Regions from separate parts of the Mus musculus genome. Here regions 1 and 2 are each reported to be linked to region 3. The links are microRNA targets in miRTarBase. Many come from high-throughput screens and were not tested one by one. Region 3 holds a microRNA gene; each other region holds the end of a gene's coding sequence. Distances are between the middles of the regions.

What was found. Region 3 holds the annotated microRNA mmu-miR-148a-3p (UCAGUGCACUACAGAACUUUGU, at 1,858-1,879, opposite strand). A microRNA usually pairs through its seed, bases 2 to 8, with sites in the 3' UTR of a target mRNA and lowers its output. Matches are read on the target gene's strand: a 7mer-m8 pairs with bases 2 to 8, a 7mer-A1 pairs with bases 2 to 7 and ends in A, and an 8mer does both.
Region 1: the mRNA of Naip5 is a reported target of mmu-miR-148a-3p. Seed matches in the 3' UTR shown: 7mer-A1 at 5,885-5,891.
Region 2: miRTarBase lists Mrpl51 as a target of mmu-miR-148a-3p. Seed matches in the 3' UTR shown: 7mer-A1 at 5,307-5,313.

Annotation. Positions count from the first base shown.
Region 1 is chr13:100,206,006-100,213,123 of GRCm38, forward strand. Naip5 (NLR family, apoptosis inhibitory protein 5) reads right to left here. Exons shown (of 15, transcript NM_010870.2): 15 at 5,734-6,966. The coding sequence ends at 6,602. Among named protein-coding and RNA genes, the nearest start is that of Naip2, 7.4 kb to the left of the region's middle.
Region 2 is chr6:125,192,289-125,199,406 of GRCm38, reverse strand. Mrpl51 (mitochondrial ribosomal protein L51) reads right to left here. Exons shown (of 3, transcript NM_025595.3): 1 at 6,974-7,118; 2 at 6,781-6,891; 3 at 5,015-6,184. The coding sequence starts at 7,052. The coding sequence ends at 5,988. Mir3098 (microRNA 3098) reads right to left here and starts at 3,615; the gene lies at 3,529-3,615. It overlaps Gm52878 (a long non-coding RNA gene), which reads right to left and starts at 2,673. Exons shown (of 2, transcript XR_003956366.1): 1 at 2,165-2,673; 2 at 1-1,546.
Region 3 is chr6:51,267,972-51,275,091 of GRCm38, forward strand. Mir148a (microRNA 148a) reads right to left here and starts at 1,939; the gene lies at 1,841-1,939. It overlaps Gm38821, which reads right to left. Exons shown (of 4, transcript XM_011241556.1): 2 at 3,236-3,439; 3 at 2,309-2,981.

The sequences.
Region 1 (7,118 bases), not on the chromosome of region 3:
TTTGCACCTCAAGACCCACCCAAGCCATACACCCCCTCCAAAAAGGCTACATCTTCGAATCCACCAACTGTAGACCAAACATGCAAACACATGAGCCCATGGGAGATATTTTCCACTCAAATCACCAGAGCCTTTCTTTATGGAAGAAAGGGGGTTATTTGGGCATATGTCCCAGAAGGCTAAGAGTCCATCATGGTGGGGAGACATGCAGCAGGCATGGCAGGAGTGTGAAGCTGAAGATACACATCTTGAACCAGAGTTGAAGCACAGAGAGCAAATTGTGAACAGGGATAGGTCTTACACTCTCAAAGCCCTTCCTAGATCACACCTCCTAAGCTTCCACGAGGAGCATGACCAACTGGAGACCAAATAATTAAACACATGAGCTTAGGGGGAAACACTGTTATTCAAAACACCATAACCACTGACCAACATCTTCAGCACAAAAATACTTATGTGGAAAAAAAATAACAATCAAGATTTTAAAATGGAAATTTCCATTAGGAAGAATTGGATATGAATTGAGTAGTTCAGGGCCTATGTCTTAGTTAGAGTTGGAAATGGTGAGGTAGAGACTGAGAATTTAAAGCCAGTCAGCTGGATGAGGTGGTCCATGAAGTGTGCATACACAGAGACAAAGCCAGGAGACCTCAGATCTCCCCAGGAGTTAGAGAGGAGAAACAACGGAGGATTCAGCTGGCGCTCTCTGAGGAAAGCTGGAGTGGTTGATACCCGAGGAGCGGGTGCTTCCTGGAGGCCAGCGACGAGCAGAGAAGTTGGCTGCTGAGTTTTGCAAGGACAAGGCAGGCAAGTCCTTCATAATTCCTGCTTCACAGAAAAGTCTGTCAGGTATTCTGGGCCAGAAGGCCCAAGAAGATATTCCAATGACTCAGAGAACTTTGTGGGTGACTGTCTAGACACCCAGCTTTCTGGACATTTTATATGTCATTTTTATAGTTTTAAAGGTGCTTGCCTGCACTTCCTGCATATTCAGGCAATATTTCTTCCTTCTCAGGTCTGTGGTGAGGCTGAGAATGAAATAGTGACAGTCTTACACTTAAGCTTAAGTTGTGCAGGATTAAGGTCTAAGGTCCAAGATGTTCTTAGGTTGGTAATGCAACCAATTTCTTATGATAGAAATTTATTTAGGGACAGAATTCTGAATTTGCCAAGATAGGATAGGTAGCAGAATACTTCCTCCAAGGTTGCCAAACCCATATGAACTGGAGATTATGAATGTAATCTTACCTGGTGGTTCTCACAATTGTTATTATTGTTTATAGCTTATTATTGTAAGATAAAGAGTCTTTTATTGGACTAAAAGGAGAAAATGTAAAGATAATATATTATGTACAGTATGGAAGTATCAACTGTTAATAAAGAGCAGAAGGCCTATTAGCTAAGGCAGGTAAAAGGAGGTGGAGTCCTGGTAAAGAAAGAGGATCTCTGGGATAGGGTCAGTCAAGGGAGATTCTCCCCAAACTCTAAGGACACAGACACATGAAACAGGAGAGGTAACCAGCCGTGCAGCATTTATAGAATAGAATAAATGGGTTAATTCAGTTATGGGCTAGTAGGGGAACAAGCATTTATTCATATGTACTTAAGTTTCAGAGTGGTTAATTCAGGAACTGGGGAGCAGGTGGACAACCTCGAGGTTACAGTTTAGTCCATTATTGTCATGGCGGTAAGCATAAAGGCACGCAGGCAGACATGGTGCTGGAGACGTAGCTGAGAGTTCTACATCTGGATCTGTAAGCTGCAGGAAGAGAGTGAGATGTTGAACCTAGCTTCTGAAACCTCAAAGCCCATACCCAGGGACACATTTCCTCCGACATGGCCACACCTCCTAATGCCACTTCATAAGCATTCAAATATAAGTCTATGAGGGCCATTCTCACTCAAACCACCACAGTTTACAAAAAATAAAAAATAAATTTAAAAAAAGAGCTTGGAAGTGAGTTAAATCTTCTAAGGATGTGCAGAGACTTTCAGAAAGGCAGTTGAAATTAGAGGTGATTTTGCTTATGTGGGCATGGTGAACGGATTTAGGAAGCAGGAGTAGACCGGTATACTTAGGATGTGCTCAGAAAGGGGAGTCTAGAATTTAACTAGTTCTTTGTTTAATTTTTTTCCCTTCATTTTTGAGATTATGATATAATTACAGCATTTCTCCCTGCTCTTTCCTCCCTCTAAAACTTCGCATATAAAAATTTCCATCTTTCCTTGTTTTCTCTCAAATTCATGGCTTCTTTTTGCATTGTTGTTACTTACATATATGTATATTTACATACATTATACATATATTGTTACATACATTATATACACCATACACATATACATTAAGCACACATACATTACATATATTATACATATGTTGTACACATATATGTATGTTTATATACATTATACATACAGTATACATATATTTATATACGTATATTTCTAAATGCAATCTTCTACTTCTGTAAAATGTTACTTATCCATATGTTTTTGTAATGCGTCCTGGACCCTAGCCTAACAAATGACATGTTGGAGGCACCATTCACACCTTATAACCCAAACATCTGCCAAAAGAGGAAAAAAAAACCCCAATCAATCAATCAAGACCTGGCCCATAGTTCCTGGATCCAAGAATCTCTAAATGTGCTAACTTGGCTTCTATAGTTCTGCTACTGTTAACTGTTCCTGCTAACTAACCTGTCATCCAGGATGTGGGGCTTGTGTTTAAAAGACAAAGGGCAGTGAGGACTGGGGCTGCATGATCTGGGCAAGGTCCCCATGCAGCCACTGGCTGGTGATAAAGACTTTCTTCTCAGTTTTAAGAGGGTCTATATGTGTTCTCTGGTCTGTGGAGAGCCGTGCCGTGAGCAATCGCCATTATAAGATGGCGCTGGCCTCCGCTGTGCCTAACTAGTAAACAAGCCTTGTACGCAGGTGCGAGAGTGAACTCACTCCTAGTCACTCCCATTCTCGGAGTGTAATAGTGGGGTGATGGGCGAACAACGAATCAGGAGCTGTCACGCCATAGCAGGTGCTGAAACTTCACGCTGCGGGCTATAAAAGCGGCGCCATTTTCCCGGTTAGGGGTCTTCCTGAAGAAGTAAGCAAAAAAGCTTTTGCCGCGGAAGATTCTGGTTTGTTGCGTCTTTCTTGCTGGTCGAGTGGGACACAATACTGGTCAACATTTTCAGGGCTGACCATTTGGTATTGGATGACCAACCTGTGTGCTCTTCGGTGGGGAAAACTGTTTCCCCCAATCTCAGTAACCCCTAGTTGCCTGTAGTTCTTTTCCTAGGGTTGGAGCCTCCTGGGCTTTCCCCGTTCAGTTTGGCATAGTCACTGCTGTCATTTTCATTAAGCTCAGACTAGGGCAGCCATGTTGTTTAGACTTTATGAGTATAGAAATTACCAGAAAACACAGTCTCAGAGCAAACTTCCTCATCTTCTGGCTCTTACAGTCTCTCCCCAGCCTTTTCTGCACTGTCTCCTGAAACTTAGGTCCAGGAGTTGTTGGGTAGATGTATTCATTGGGACTGGGCTCTACAAATCTATTCTTTCCATCTGATATGACAGGAAATGGACCAAGACCACTGAACCTCATTAAAATGTTTCCCTTTTTTCTTTTTCAGTGCTAGGGACCAAACCTAGGACCTTCCACACACTAGACCACTAAGCAGCCTCCCCAAGTCTTCCTCAATTTTATTTTGAGGCAATCTCTTTAGACTGCCCAGGCTAGCCTTGAACTTAGTGGGTACTTACTTGGTAAGGGTGTATGATAGAAGGGTAATCTTGGACTTGAGAACCTAGGAACCACACAGCTCTGAGGTCGGACAGTATCCCATGGGAAGAGTATCCTGATTACCCAGGCTGGCAAGTTCCTTTGTTAGAGCTAATGACTGCATTCTACTTTCCCCAAATTTCCCTGTGGTAAATATCTTCATGGTTTCTGTCTTTTCAGTGGACTCTGAAAAATATTAACACATCAAATCATCAAAAAGATAATCAATCCTTCTCAATAGAGATAGCTTAAGTTAATGCTTTAGTGTTAAACTTTTTTCCCCCAGTGCTAGAGATGTCACTGAGGACCTTGAAAATACTAAGCAGGCACATTATCTTTAAGCTACACCACAAGCTAGAATTTTGATATCAAGAATAGCAATAACACCAACTTTAGGTGTTTCTGCTCGGATGGAAGGTTATCCTGGGGTTTAGAAGCCTAGGAACCACATGGCTCCTGAAGGACGACAGTGTGGGACAGTGACCCATGGGAAGGGTATCCTGAGACATCAGAACTCGGAACTACAGAGCTCCGAGGAAGCCTTCTCAGCAGAGGCATTAGCGCTCCCAAGGGAGGGTATCTCCTACTGAGCTGAGGAGCTCAAGAGTCTGATCTCTGCTCCTTCTTCACTTCTTCTCTACTTTTTCTCTTCTTTGCTTGTTCTCTTCTCAGCTTCTTCCAACGAGAAAGTTGCTCCAGGCAGTGCATCTTATAAAAGATATTTATTGACAGTAATAATACAGGAGTGTGAGGGACAAAACTAGGGATGGCTGCTCTCTGCTCCCGGGAGTGGACAGACAGGGAATGGACAAAGGGGCAGTGCTTATATAGGATTTCTGAGGAGACTGGAGAGGAGGGTCTGCCACTGTACACAGTTCCTGCAGTGGTGCTTCACCAAGGTTGTAGGCTAAGGCAGGAAAGAAGATGTCGCTACCGCGGACAGCTCCCAAAGAGTAGCTCCTGCCGAGGAGGGAAAGATGTGTCACCATGGACAGCTCCATGGCATCTGTAGGCTTGAGATGCTGTGGTGCACGCTGAGATCTTATGGTTGACACCATTTCGACAGGAGCTGCCATTTTGGACAGCCCCTATGGAACATTTTACTGAGAGGGTCATAGGCTGGTGCGGGAAGGAAGGACCTGCCACCTCTTTGATGGCTTTTGTGACTCATGGCTCAGGAACTATACAGACAAAACAAAAATAGTCCAGAAGGAATGAAAAGTAAGAATGCCTCCCATATAACTTCCTACACACAACCAATGCTTTCTTCTTTTTTTTTTAAGTTAAAAACTTATTTTCAGAACTATTTTCACTCAGATTAATGGAGGCATAATTAGCAAATAATAAAAAAGCATGCATATTTGAGGTATGCCAGGCAGGTGCAAAGTGATGTTTCAATATATAGTATTATGTAATAAATTACTATCATAATTAAGTAAATTAATTGTGTCAGTCAGTATTTTATTGCTGTGAAGAGACACTGTGACCATGATGACTCTTATACAAGAGCACATTTAACCAGGGCTGGCTTACAGCTTCAGAAGTTTAGTTCATTATTACTGTGGTAGAGAATATGCCTGCATGCAGGTAGTCATGGTACTTGGCAGGTAGCTGAGAGTTCTACATCTGGATTGGAAGGAAGGCAGCATGGAGGGAGGGAGGGAGGGAGGGAGGGAGGGAGGGAGGAGAGAGAGAGAGAGAGAGAGAGAGAGAGAGAGAGAGAGAGAGAGAGAGAGAGACTGGGCCTGGCCTGAGCACTTGAAATTCAAAGCCTACTACCAGGGACACAAGATCTCCAACAAGTTAATAGCTACTCCAACAAGGCCATACCTCCTAAGAACATCACTCCCAAATGACCAACCATCCACACATTTGAGACTATGGTGGCCATTCCTATTCAAACAAGAAGTCCTTAATAGTTAGAACCATATATACCAAAGACCATGAATTTCTTTCTTTTTTAAGATTTTATTTCTTTATTCTATGTAAGTACACTGTAGCCATCTTTAGACACCCCAGAACAGGGCATCAGATCTCATTACAGATGGTTGTGAGCCACCGTGTGGTTGCTGGGATTTGAACTCAGGACCTTCAGAAGAGCAGTCAGTGCTCTTAACCACTGAGCCATCTCTCCAGCCTGACCATGAGTTTCTAAGAAAATCACAAGGCCATTACAGTACATGCAAAATTATCAAAAACTCTCATAAACAAAAGCAGTTTTCTCTAAGCCCAATATCCCCCCACCCATTGGCAATAGATGCACAACCACATCAAGGCTAATGAATACGCAAAAGTGCTGCAAAGACTAAAGAGCATCTCCTGGAGAGAGAGTCAGCTGCAGCCATGATAAAGTCAACACATGCTTCCTCATGTACAAGGCTGATTCAATCTATAAACAGACCATGTATATCCTCCACCCAGTGCTCCTATGATGTCTTGGCTTTACATAGATCAATGTTCCTTTCACCAGCCCTTTCCTGTTGACCTTGGTATTGGAAGGTTCCTTGTATGAACTTGAAGGAAACTCTAGTCTTTAGACAGGAGAAATATACAAGGACTAAAAAGGCACTGTTCATTGTAGCTCAGTGATGAGCATGTAGATTTTCAAAAAAAATTATCAGCCTTCGGATAGATGGATCAGGGTTTAAGAGCACCTGTAGCTTTTACTGAGGATAAAGGTTTGGTGACCAGCACCCAAATGGAGACTCTTAACTATCTATAACTCCAGACCCAGGAGGGCCCAACATACTTTTCTGACCTCAGCTAGAATTTTAGGAGTTTTAGATATTCTGAACTGTCAGTAGTCTTCAGGAGCATCCTTTACTCCAGGATAACAGGAGAGAATGGGACTATCAATTTCCAGAAGATAATCAAGCGTTTAGACTGGGGATGTCTTTCCTTCACATCATTAATCACTTTCATGTCCTCTTCATCCAGGAGCCAACTGAGCATGTGCAGTCTGATGAGGCTGGGCAGTCGGGACACACATTGACCCAGAGCCTTGACAGTGGTGGCCTGAACTTGAATGCGTCCTGGGATATTCCTGCAGATGTTCAGCTCTTGTAGGTTTGGCAAGTTGTCCAGGGCTTGAAAGAAATTTCTATATCCTTCCTCGGTAATCTTGTGATTCATGGAAATATCTAAGTTCTCAAGTTTCTGGAAACCTCCACTGGTTGCCGCCCTGGCTGAAAACAAAACACGTATGAAAACACAATCAAGAGGACTTCAATAATGCTCACAAGTTATTGGAACTACTCCCAAACCCCTACAATGAAGGTTGGAATTCTCTACATGATGTTTTAGAGATCAAACCTTGAAAGCATCAAACAGCAGCCTG
Region 2 (7,118 bases), 74 Mb from region 3:
CCACTTTCAAGAATGTCAGTGTTTTGAGTAATGTGGCTATGAGGATCAACTACAGGATTTATTATGGCTTCTTCAGCCTCTGATGGGCTGAATTCCTAATCACTGCAGAAGCCTCTTTATTCCTACACAAAAGGAACTATTACCAAGCCAATTTCTGAATATCAAAACCCCCTCTGACCTAGGAGCTGTCTGAAGGAACCATTACCTAAGCAATTCTCAGCCAAACAAGGCTTCCTAGTTTGCCAAGTATGTCTCAGGACTAAGTTATGCAAAGGCTCTGTGCATCCTCTGGAAGGACCACTCAGAACACCTCAGATAACAAGCACTGACTATTTATTTACAAAAGCCTATATGTTATCACTCGGGAATTCATGCCAGATAAATTTCTGCTACACCAGTGTTATAATCTGTTTCTATTAACTGATTTCCGGCTGTTCGGAAACCCTGTGCTCTCTGACTAGCATTTACCACGTCCATCGTGTCTCCACACAATCCCCAGAGAACCCGGTATGGGCTAAAGCCACTCCCCAGCCCTTATTCCACCCAAGGAGCAGCAACTAAACCAGGTCTGCTTCTGTAGACATGTCTATTCCCCACATTTCAGTGAGACAGAATCATATAGGATTTGGCACTTTATGACTGATTCTTTGATCTAACATGGTGTTTGTTTGTTTTTGTTTTTTGCTTTTTGTTTTCAAGACAGGCTCTGTGTAGCTGTGTGTTCCTGGCTGTCCTGGAACTCACTCTGTAGACCAGGCTGGCCTTGAATTCAGAGATCCACCTGCCTCTGCCTCCCAAGTGCTGGGATTAAAGGCATGCACCACCACTGCCTGCCCATCTAACATGTTTTAAATATTCATCTGAATGTGGCATGTATGGGTACTTCATTCCTTTAGTAATTGAATAATAATTCACTGTACAACTGTTCAAAATCTTGGTTACTTTTTTTTTTAAATCAATTGCTGGACATTTGTCCTTTTAAAACATTAATTTATTTGGGGGGCAGGCATGCACATATGGAAATGAGATCAGTTTGCAAGAGTTGGTTCTCTCCTTCTTCCATGAGGGATTAATTAGTTCCAGGGACCAAACTCAGGCGTCCTTCAGACTCACTATGTATCTGAAGAAGGCCTGGAACTCCTGATCCTCCTGCTCTACCTCCTAGGCACCTGGCCCACGGGGCTCTGCTAGCAGGTAGGCATTGGTTTGGTTGGGTTCCTCTTGTGGCCACCATAATGGCCTGCACTAGCATGGCCCTTTCTGCTCTTGTGGAACAGACACGCTTCCATTCTCTTGGGTGACACCTCTGAGTGACATTACCGATCCATACGTAACTCTGTGTTTAGCTTTTTGGGCAGCTGTGGATTTCCCAAAGTGGCTAGATCATTTTACTAAATGTAGGTTTCCTCGTGCTCTGACTCTTAACTTCTCAGCTTATCTTTAGGCACACAAAGTAGTTCCACTAACAAATACTACTTGTAGCCTTGCTGTGTGCTGGCTCCATGCTATTTCTCACATCTGTGCCATTTTGCTCTGCATCATTTGCCTGAAAAAAAAAAAATTGTTACCTCCCTCTGCACCCCCTCCCCACTTTTAACATTCCTTTAGGATAAATTAGTGGTGATCTGATCACCTACAGGAAGCCTTCCCTGCCCTCTACCTGCTCCCCTGGGGTTGGTTAGGGACTCCTTCCTGCCTGTGTCTATATAGTCATTTCCCATTGAATTCCTAGCACTGACCCTTTCCAAGACCTACTTCAAGCACTTCAATCCACAGTCACACACACACACACACACACACACACACACACACACACACACACACACACACACACGTGCATGCATGTGCACACACAATTTTCTCACCCCCTTTTAAAAACAAACAAACAAAACAAAAACAAAAACCTCATGTGGGACTGGAAAGCTGGCTCAGTGGTTAAGAGCTGCTCTACCAGAGATCCTAAATTCAATTACCAGGAGCCACATGGTGACTCATAATCATCTATAATGAGATCTGGTGCTCTCTTCTGGTGTGCAGGCCTACGTGTAGGCAGAACACTGTGTACACAGTAAATGGATAAACCTAAAAACAAAAACTCATGCTGCAACAATATTTTTCCCACGCAATTACCGAATTCAGATATGCATCTTGTTTACATACGCACCCTGTACCTGACGGATGAAATCTTTTTACAGGCAGTGGTGTAGCCTTGGTTTGTGGTGTATATGCCTCCAAGGTCCTTCCACACAATGATTCAGTGTTTGTTGAAGGGAAATGTTGCATTCTTTTTCATTACAAAAACAATCCAGCTCTGTGCTTGAAAAATAAGACTTTTTGTAACTGACAGCAGGAAGAATTTTATACGGGCTTCTGGGGCTGACTTGTTAGTTCCTTCTTCACTAACACTTGTGAGATTGTATTAAAACATTTTCCTCTTCCTTTTCTACCTTTCCCCCTCCTCTTTGGTTTCTCAAGACAGGGTTTGTGTGTGTGTGTGTGTGTGTGTGTGTGTGTGTGTGTGTGTGTGTGTGTGTAGCCTTGGCTGTGCTGAAACTTGTTCTGTAGACTAAGCTGACCTTGAGCTTATAGAGAAACACCTGCCTCTGCTACCCAAGTGCTGGGATTAAAGGGGTGACCACCGCGCTTCATGGCTTTTTTGTTTTTTCTTTTCTTTTTTTTTTTTTTAAAGATGGGATTTCACTGTGTAGCCAAGCCTGGAACTTGATATGTAGACCAGGCCTGCCTCTGTCTCCAGGGATCAGTCCTGGGTTCAAAGGTTTTTGCCTCCATGCCTGAAGACCTCAAGACTTCTTAGCCTCGTTTTATCAACCCTTGTTATTTAAATTTTGTCCTTTGGGATCAAGTCTCTAAGCAACCAAGCCCAAGAGAGGCTGAATAATAAGACCTTGTGCCAAAAGAACTTAGCTGGGGCTGTGGAGAGATGGCTCAGAGGTTACAAGCACTTGCTGTTCTTGCAGTGGCCCTGATTTGGTTCTCAAAAAAACAAAAACAACCCAAACTACCAATTGACTAAGTAGATGTGAGTGAAGATGTCTCAGGCGTGTTAGCCCACTGCTGAATATGGCCTCGTGACAGCAAACTAGATTAACCATCTGAAGAAGAAAACCCAGAGAAAATGATTTGAAGTTGTTTTAGTCATTGAGTTTAAGAATGGACTGTTACGTCATAAAAGATCATTGACACAGAACTTAGATTTAAATCAAATAGGATAACCACCCTAATTTTTCTACCTTCAGAGCTCACTTGAGTCTACAAGCAATTCATTTTCTTGGATTTGCAATACTTTTAACATTTTTAAATTTTATTCTACATCCCAACCACAGCTTCCCTCTCAACCACAGCTTCCCTCCCTCCATAGTCTCTCCCTGCCACTTTTCCTCCCCACACCCAGATCCCCACTCCCCTGTTCTCCCCAGGTCAGGCCTCAGTGGCTATCAACCAGCCATGGCATATCAAGTACAGTAAGACAAGGCACCTCTTCTATTAGGGCTGGGCAAGGCAGCCGGTTGTGGGGAAAGGGTCCTAAAGGCAGGCAGCAGAAGCAGGGGATAATCAGAGCTCCTACTCCTGCTGTTAGGACTCCTCCCAACCACAATGTGTGGAGGGCCTAGCTCAGTCCCATGCAAGCTCCCTGGTGGGCAGTTCAGTTTCTGTGAGCTCCTAAGGGCTCAGGTTAGTTGATTCTGTGGGTTTTCTTGTGATGTCCTTGACCCCTCTGGCTCCTACAGTCCCTCCCCCCACTCTTCCAAGAGAATCCCCAAGCTCTGCTTTGTTTGCCTGTGTGTCTCTGTAATACTTTTTTGTTTTGTTTTGTTTTTTTCAAGACAGGGTTTCTCTGTGTAGCTCTGGCTGTCCTGGAACTCACTCTGTAGACCAGGCTGGCCTCAAACTCAGAAATCCTCCTGCCTCTGTCTCCCAAGTGCTGGTTTTAAAGGCGTGCGTCACCACCGCCCGGCAATACTTTTTTATAAAAAGAAGTAGGTATTATATAGCCTTGGACATGGCCACTAAATATGAGGATTAAACAGTAGTTTGAAGCTGGATACAAGGACTCACACATATAATCTTGTCACTCTGGAGGTAGAGGCAGGAGGATGGGTCCCAGTTTGAGCTATAAGAGTTCCAGGCCAGCCTGAGCCTGACTTTGAGAGACTATAGGTTTTTGGTGTTTGTTTGTTTGTTTTTGTTTTTATGTTTGTTTTGTTTTTTCGAGACAGGATTTCTCTGTATAGCCGAACTCAGAAATCCACCTGCTTCTGCCTCCTGAGTGCTGGGATTAAAGGTGTGCACCACCACCGCCCGGCTTATTATTATTATTTCATGTTTTACATGCAATAATACATGCAGCTATGCCTGTGCACATGTGCATGCCTGTCTCCATGGGAAGCCCAGAAACTGGAAGTATAGTCAGCCTTGAGTCACCATGTGTGAGCTGGGAATTAACCTGGGCAACCTGCAAGAGCATCCCTGGGAGATGGCTGGAATCATCTCTCCAGCCCCAAGACTGTTTAAAAAAAAAAAAAAAATGCAAGAAAAATTCCCTGGATTACCTTTCTGTCATCTCCAGACTTCTCACTGAATTGATTTCAATTGAAACATAAATTCAAAAACCTGTGGAAAATGTGGTGGCTTAAGCCTTAGATCCAACACTAAGGTATTATCTCCATGAGTTCAAGGCTAGCCTGGTCTACATACTGAGTTCCAGGATAGCCAAGGCTACATAGAGAAAACCCTATCTCAAAAAACCAAAAGAAGTAAATGAAGAATGTCATAGCAAAACCTATTATTTTTGTAATATATACTAACAAAAGCAAAGTGCAGCAGAGGGTCTATAGCTCACTATAAAGTACTTGGTATATCCAAGACGCCAGCACTATGCCATATAGAAGAGTCTCTCAGGGAAGCCCACACTCATGCTCTCAAGTGTTTTACCTCTGAACACCTCTCTCATAGCCCTGATGCTCAAACCTGTATTAAAATATCTTTCTTTTTAAAAAAAGATTTATTTAATGTATGTGAGTACACTGTAGCTGTACAGATGGTTGTGAGGCTTCATGTGGTTGTTGGGAATTGAATTTAGGACCTCTGCTGCCTCAGTTGACCTTGCTCTCTCTGGTCAACTCCACTTGCTCTGGTCCAATGATCAAAGACTTTTTTATTATTAAAAATAAGTACACTGTGACTGACTTCAGATGCACCAGAAGAGGGCGTCAGATCTCATTATGGGTGGTTGTGAGCCACCATGTGGCTGCTGGGATTTGAACTCAGGACCTTCAGAAGAGCAGTCAGTGCCATCTCACCAGCCCTAAAATATCTTTCTTAAATGACATTTTTTTCCCCTAAAAAAAAAAAAAAAGCAAACAGGGTAGCACACACAGGGGTAATACTGGGTGTGATCTTTAACACTTCATAAAACTGGGCATGACTCAAGGTCAGCCTCCACAAAACTGCCCTATTCAAGAGGATGGGAAATGCTGTGGTACTCAGACAAGTTCCCTAACTTATAACTGATAAGAGCAGTACAAAGTGTAATTTCACTTTCCTAGTTCATTTTGGGGTGGCAGAGTCTTTAGAAATAGCAGCTACACTTCCAAGGGCCTGGGCGGCTAGTGGCAGAGTTCCCTAGAATGAGCAAGTCCCTGGGTTTCAGCTCCAAGATTACAAAAAAATAAGATAAAATAAATAAAAATAAATTCTTTAAAAACTTACACGAGGTGCCAGTGTCAGAAAGTGCCAGCAATAAATGATTGTTATAAAGGCCACAAGCATAACTGGGCTGTAAGTAATAGTAACAAAAGATCATGTGACTTAGGAACGAGGCAGACGTCAGAGTGCATGAGTAAATGTAGCACTGGGCATATCAGATTCCAAAGGAGCCCCATTTTTTTATTACATCGAGCACACAAAGCTCTCTCCTTGCTGGGATAAGTCCTGTTCCCCTTCTCCAGGGTGACACATTTCCCGTCCTATCTGTACTTCCCATGTCGGTTAAAGTGTTTGTAGAGATAGCTGATCCGTTTGTTAAGGTTATGCAGGTCCTCAATGAACATCCTGTTTCCCACAAATTTCTTCTTTCGGACACAACGCTGCAATTCATTTCCTCTCCAGCCTCGAAGCCATACTGGGCCCTTGATCAGTTCTTTTGGGTGCTTCTCGAAATTCCCTGTAACGTGACAGAATATATACTAGTTTCAAGAGAAGAGAAGTCAGCCTAGCCCAACTAGGCCTTCAACACAGTTTCATCTCCCTGATCAGAACTACTGACAGACAAGGCACACACCAGTCTAGTACAAGGGACAGAGTCTTTGTAACACTTGCTCTTCCAAAGGATTCCCCAGCACTCTCAACTGAAGGTTCACGACTGCCTGAAAGGGAAGTTCTAGGAAGTCACCCTGAACCTGCAGGCATTGCTTGAGCAGTACACGGTACACATTCAGAAAACACAAAAATCTTATTTAAAAAAGAAGAAAGAAAGAAAGGAGTAAAGACTTTGCAGCCAGAAATGTCTGGGTTCAAATACTGACACTCCCATTTACTCGCTTTGGCCCTCAGACCTGCCCACTACTGTGTTAGTGAGACTGAGTCCCGCACTCCTCACTATTCTCCGCATCTCAGACTGGTCTTGCCTGGCTTCATCTCCCGTGTAACAGGTTTGTGCCCCCAGGCTTGCCCCGGGCACATTACTATTCTCTCCACAAATAAAACCGAAAGAGTCAAGAGAGCATACTAATCCTTCAGAAACCAGGAATCGCGTCCTACCCAGGATTCCAATGTTGTCGTAGACGCCAAACAGAGCCCTCTTCTCGTTCCAGCGATCAACCACTTTGGGAGGTGGAAGAGTGAGCCTTACGAAGGCCAACCGTGGGACGCCTAGGGAAGGACAGAAGCATGAATCAGCACTGCCCAGTGACAAGCCGTTAGCCGGCCGTCCTACTACACTTAAGCCACTTACCCAGAGAGAAGCTTCGGCATGCCGAGGGCACCCAGCCCCACAGTCTCCTACTTGCCGCCCAAGGGACACTCCCTGCCATTACTCTAGCCTGTCCGCCTCAGTAGGGGCAGCAAACCAGCCGGAAAAATGGGGAGCGGGTGTGAAT
Region 3 (7,120 bases):
GCTGTTCCCTCTTCCCAGTCATGCTTAACACCCTTCCTGATGATGGTGGCATTGCCAACCGCTAACATGAGAATGGACTCCAGAATGAACCGGATGTCAGCCGATTTTGCTCACAGCTGTACCCTGGCATCTAACACCTGATGCTCAGTTGGTAACAAGGCTCTGGTTGCTCAATATCTAAAGTCAGTGGGAGTATGCCAGCTTCAGAGCACACCCAGCCTGCTGGTTTTCCTCGACCCTACTCCCAGCATGCACACCACTAGGATAAGCCACAAAGCCTTCCTTCCTGGCTGGCCCTTTAACCCGCTCATGGCCAAAGCAAGAGTTTTCACCAAATCATTTTTATAATGAGGTCAAACCAGGTGAACCCAAGTGAGGGATTCCAAACCTGGCTCTTTCTTGAAGGTAGAGTCCTGACCTAATCCTTTGCATGGATGGCTACTCTCCCAGATACTTCACCTTATCTGCTCAAAGGGCCACTGCATTCTCATACAAAGTTGGTTCTGCCTATTGTGAGAATTAGTAGTTTCATAGTATTTTGTGAACACATTCATTCACAAAAATCAGGAAAGAAACCCTCCTCACCAGGAAGCTTACCTTATATCTTAAATGAAAACAAAAAGAACCCGAATTTGGATCACTTTATTCAACTGCAAAAATAAGATTAAGCTACCTTTTGGGCAGAGAGTTGAAGCAATGAAGCTCAACAGTCACTGGTGGGAAGAAAGGAGACTGGGTGTAGCTAACAATCTCAGAAGAGCGCCTGGCTAGGGGTCCAGACAGGTGCCGCCAACTGGCAAGTCCTTCCTCCAATACTTTCCCATTGGCCCTTCCCCATTATCTCTACTCCAATAGGAATGTGCTCAGAAGTAAAGGCGGTGGATTTTCATTTTTTAGATCAAGACTTCCCAGAGTCACACTCCAGGAGACCTCGGGGCTTCTGAAGCATTCTACAAACGTTGCCAGGACTGAGCTGTCCCTAAGCAACAAAGAAGGCTTCATTCCTTTTTGCTCATCACTAGGTGTCACAGCTTGACATACATGTGTCAGGTTAGCGCCTTTGTTAATGACGGTTTTGTAATCCCTTGACTCTATTCGCTCTCCAGCCACACCCATAAACATCAAAATAGGGCAATGACCCGGGAGCAGGATACAGTTCAATGCCAGTCACTGCCCACTGTAGAGCGCACTATTAACTGCAACTGCCAGCCACAACCCACATTCCATTAGGGTCCAGGAGAGCAGTTTCTCTGTACAGTATCTCACAGCTCCAAAGTATAAACACTGACCTCATAAATGACTGTCAAAATGCCTTCTTAGAAAAGGTACTTCCTTTCCATTAACAACCCCCCCCCCAAAAAAAAAAAAAGAAAAGAAAAAAGGAAAATGAGATGGGCCTAAATCAAACTCAGAACTGAAACTAAATCCAAACCCAATCCTTGCAGGTTCATTTATCTAACAGGGCATTTGAGTAAAAGGCACATTACCTGTGGCTTTGGCACAAGTGCATTTCCTTCTCTTAGGGTACAGTTTGAACATACCAACACACTCATCAATAAACTTGTGGTCCTTCTCTCCTTGCTCAATAAGTGAAGCCAGACTATTTTAGTATTTTAAAAATAACCTTGAAAAATATGCAATCAGTCCACCAGGGTAAGAAGAAAAATGGGGGGGGGTAGTTACTTTATGTGATCTAACCCATTGACTTTAAAGGAGTTTTTCAGGTTCTTCACAAAGCCCTTGTGCCCCCTCTGGGCTGCCCTTCCCCCAAAGGAAAGGTGCAACGACGTGGCCAACAGGGCCACCAGCTTGGCGTCCAGGGCCCTTGCGGGGAGGCGGCGACCACAGCCTCTAGAGACAAAGTTCTGTAGTGCACTGACTTCTATCATACTCAGAGTCGGAGTGTCTCAGAACTTTGTCTCAAAAGACCAAACTGGCTGTCTTCCTCTGGAAGTTTCGTCCTGCAGGTGTGCTCCCTGCCATCCCGCCTCGCCCCCAGTGAAGGCAAAGAAGAATAACTCATTAGAAGCAATTTAGTCCAGGATGAGACCAATAGTGGTACGGATAGTTAATTATGGAAAATTACTGCCACAGTCAGCAGGAGTAAAAATCCAGTAGAAAGGGTGTCCTAAGAGACTCTGGTGGCAATGTCACAGCAAACGGACCAGTGGAATCACACAATGCCCCCTCCTTCCTACCTACTCTACACAAGAATCCATTGCCGGTCCAGCCCCCACCTCCTCCGGTCCTGTTACTAAACTTTGGCAAGAAGCTAATTCACTCAATCTAAGTTGCGGTAACTTTTTACCTTTCCATCTGGAAAGTTGGTGAGGGCGGGGAGGACCTCATGAGAACGAATTCCTGGAGCAGGGAGTCAAAGCCGGCGAACACAAGCCAGTTTCCCCGCAGATGGGACGTCCCGGGAAAGCCAGGCTTTTCGCGGCCTCCCCTTCCCCCAGCCATTCTCACCACACTACTCCGGTTATCCAGCTGCCCGCGCACAGTCTGGGAATCCGCGTCCACGCAGCCCTGGCCCCTCGGTGCCACCCACCCACTCTCCCGGTTTCCCTCTGCCTGCTGAGGCAGCGCCTCCGCAGCCGATCTGCATGCAGTCCACGACACAGGCCCGGCGCCCCTAGCCCATCCAGCCCGGACCACCGTGCGGGGTCCCGCACGCCTCCCCACACACTGCGCGCAAGCAGCTGTTGCGCGCGTGCAACAGGTCCGCAGAGCGCAGTCCCCATCCTGCCCGGTTGGTGCGCGTGGCCGACAGAACGCGGGGCCAGAGCTCCGAAGCTGCGGCCGGGGGTTGCATCGGCCTGTCTGGCCTGGCCGCCCTCCCAAAGGCCCCCCGCACGCCGCAGCCCGGCCCTCTGCGCCCCGGGCCGCTGAGCTAGGCTTCCAGTGGGCGCTCCGCTCCGCTCCCTTCCATCTTGACTTTTGCCGACGTGGAAATTTTGGGTTTGGAGACGACCTGCGCTCTTATTGGCTGCCGGCGGGCGGGGTCGGAGGTCACGGCTGCTCTTGCTATTCCGCGCCAAGGGGAGCCGCAAAACGGCTCGTGTCAAGTCAGCAGGTTCCCTCCGCCTCCTCAGGGTCACGTGCGCGCTGGGCGGGGCGGGGAACCGCCTCCTTATGCAAATAAACGACGAAGGGGCCCCAGGAGGAAGGGGGCGGAGCCGGCAGGCAGAGGGGCGGGGTGGGGGCGGAGCCTGAGCCGGGCGGGGTGCGGCACTCCAGGTGGTCACCTGGCTCCTAGTCCGGCTCCACCCGGCCTCTGGGTTCAGCCCTTTGTGGGCAGGCTGGGTAGACGTGGTCTCCATCCTGCCCGTGTGCAAGACGCTGAACACAGCTTTGCCCGCAGCCCCTTCCGCTAGGCCAGGCCAGAGCCCAGTTCGGGTCTGGGTCTCTGCTGGGTTGGGGAAGACGAGGCTGCCACCTAAGCAGAGTGAGAAATGGAAACCTTGAGGAGGACACTTTGGCTCCTCCCCCGGGGCTGAGTGTTACAAGAACTGAGAGAGGAATTCTCGGTAAGAGAATTCTAGAACAAAGCTAAATCAAGAATTCATCAAAGTTAAAAAGCCATCCTTTTGAATTAGCTGCCCATTGCCCACTGTAAGTAAGAAAAGGCCAACAGCTACCTGAAAGTATCAAAAATAGCAATTTCTTTTGTACCGCCTACAGGGACAAACCCAAAGGTCGGTCTGTCTGTCCTGACCCCTGCTGGACATTAGGCACGGGGGTGGAGGGCGTGGGGGGGGGGTGGAGCGTGGAACCTGGAGTCAAGGTCTCCTGCATCCGAAGGAGGTATAACTCAAGGTGCTCAGAATTGTCCATATCCACGATCTGTCAGTGGTTCCCCAAGCACGCATGGAGGAGGGCATGAAGGAAGGCGTGCTTTGTAGAAGAAAGGGATTGATGAGAGGCCACATGACTAGATGGCTTCCTTCCCTCCACCCTCCCCAAAGAGAAGACAGCAATGTCAATGTACAGGTAGAGCCCAGGTTATGGTGAAAACCACAGCCTCTGGCCACCGAGCTGCATCTTTTAAAACACAGATATTTCTCAGAACAGGCCTGGTTTTTCTTTGTGATAAAACGTCTGTATCATTTCTTTTTTCCATCTTAAGTGTGGCTGGATGATACGGAAAATGAAAGGTACATTTTCATGGGAAGATTCTTACCTGGAAACTTCTTCCCCTCCTGTCTTCTTAATTTACTCGTCCCTTCTCCCCCATCCCCCTATGGAAAGATAAATCCTTGCTCCTTCCAACTGTTTATCCTTAGGGATCTTTCCACTTGCACACTTGCGTGTTTATCTGACCCTTCCGGGTGTGGGGGTGGGGGGCTCCACCAGGCATTGTCTCCTAGAGCCTCCCACCCCCCTGCTCTGCCAAGGTCTGTCAGCGGTGCTCTCTGGGCCTCAGAGTTGGTCCGGGCTCTGCCGCAGGTTCTGTTGTGTGAGCTGGAATATTGATTTTTCTTTTTTTTTCAGTGTGTGTGCGCGCCGCTCTGTTAAAAAAAAAATCAATATTTCAGTAGCTCAAGCACAGCGCAGGGCAGTGTAATGGAGCCAGCCAGCTGATGTAACGCGCCGGGTCCACCCTCAGCGATTGAGGTCAGTCAGAGAATGGCAATGCGTTTTCCTATTTCATTGTTTGCTTCGTGGACAGGGAGGGGGTTGGCCTACGCGTTTGTGGACATCAGAGGCCAAGCTCATGAGGTGTACCAGAACCAAGTTAGGAAAAACAAAAGGTGACAATCGCAGATGCCCTGTTATCCATTCATGTGAGAACTCTTATGTAAAACACTAGGCGATCTGGAATTATTCTCAGCCATAGGTTTGCCGCATTTCACACTGAGCAAAAGAAAATAGGCTTGCTTGGACAAGCATAGAGTTTATCTTTTAGTATTGGCTATCTGGCCTCGTATTATCCTTCTGTCCCCCAATATGCCTCTGTTTAAAAAGACAGCAGATTTCTCGCGTAATTTCAAAGGGGAGAACAGATGAATAAGCATCTGCCTAGGGGCTACCTTGGTGACCCCTGCAGCTGATGGAGGTAGGCTCTGAACCTGAGTGGGGCATGTGGGTCCTCCAGGCATTCCCACTAGATGAGCCCAGGTAAATCTGTTCACTCTCACCAGCCTCTCGGCTTCTACCTGTAACTTGAAGGTAAAAGGTCGCTTGAGGTGATTTCTGAATCCCCTCTCTAACTACGATTCTACAGAAGAAAGGGATAATATAGCTAAAGACAAGAGCATAATTATGTTGAGTGTGGATCTTAGATATGAAAATGGATTAATACCAAGAGCGTTGTAGAAGCAGAAGCAACTCATTCCAATTCTAGTTGTCTTTGTTTTAAATTACGTTTCATTGCAATCTTTTTGGAGGATGCTTTGGCTATTTTTCACAGTACACTCTTTTTTTATCCAGCTTCTCTCATTCTATGAGTGTCTCTTTAAAAAAAAAAAAACACTATTACTTAAAAAGAAGTCCATCGCTTGCGTTTTGTACCATTGAAACAAACACTGGAAACAACCTAGCAACGTGAAACCTATCACATAAAATACACTAGTGGCTTTGTATTCATTGGGGCGCAGATGTGTCATAGTGGTGCTGACTAAGGAGAGGTTTGCACTTGTGGATATGCATGTCATGGGAACCTCCATCTATGCAGGAGTGTGTCCCAGTGACCCAGGAAATGGGCTCTGGGAAATCTCATCTTCATCACCAGCTAGGTCTACATTGGCTCTAAACTAAGTAAGTTGGTCTTCTGTGGCCTATTGAAAGCACACAAATGTATAGGCTTGAAGTAGCACTACTTTGTATCTTACAAGAACTGGTACTAGAGGACCAAAGTGGGTTTTGCTGTGTAAGAAAAGGGTCAGGACTCACTCCCTCCAAGGACAACCCACCTATTTATCTTTCCAGAATGCCTCTTGGATCCATTGCAAGGCTGGGTGGTACAGAGTTCTGATCTCTGTTTTTATCGTTTCTTCTCCCACTCTGACCCTCCTGAGTCTTTAAAGGAAGGAACTTTGTGCTTATGCTGGGATCGGGTCACCTGGATAATTAAGAGTCATCCCCCGTAACTCAAGATTCTCTTGACATCACCATGTTAGCCACCATCGGGGCTCGCAGCCATTATTGAGCTAACATGGAGATATCTGCAGTACATGGAGATATCTGCAGTACTCACTCTATTTCCTTCTAAGAACTCCTGGAGTGAATCCCAATCAGTTAGAGGCTGCTCACATTTCCTCAGTGTGTGGCCGGCAATGGAGACAACTCTTCCCCATGTCTCAGCCCTCTGACACCGACTCCTCTACTCCAGTTCCTTTACCCTGGAGATCATGTTGAACCCAGATAGGGACATTGTGGATAATCTCCACATTTTAAGGTCAACCAAATATCAAACTTACATCTATTTGCAACCTTATATTTTCTATTTTAAGGTCAACCTTAAACTTATATTTATTTGCAACCTTATATTTCCTATGTCATATAACAAGTAACATGACATAATCACGCTCCCCTGGGATAAGGATGCAAACACCTGTGGCTGTGGTACCACTGCCCTTAGACCCAGCAGGAGGGTTTCTGTGAGTGTGAGGCCAGCCAGGGCTATAAAATGAGACCCTATCAAAATGAAAGAGAGAGAGAGAGAGAGAGAGAGAGAGAGAGAGAGAGAGAGAGAGAGAGAGAGAGAGAGAAAGGAAGGAAGGAAGAGAAAAGAGGAGAAGAAGGAGGAGGAGGAGGAGGAAAAGGAAAAGGAAAAGGAAAAGAAATGAATAAAGGATGCAAATATCTTTGGATCGCCTGCTACATTCAAGGTAATGGTAATAATCCCTATTAGAGTGTTGTGAGATAAAATATGTAAATGTTTAGCATCGTGCTAAACATAATCTGTATAGTAAGCACTACACAGTAGTTGTCACAGAGCAAGCGCTCTAAGGTGACTGTCCAGTATCACCTGGAAAGGAAACTCTGGCTGCGCCCTGTAGCATCTGGTAGATGGAGTAATTAAAATGGGTTTAAATTTTCCTCATTTTAAAAATGTTTTTCTTTTCCTCTTTTTCTACCTTGAACATTAAATTTCATTAAATTACCATGAACATTA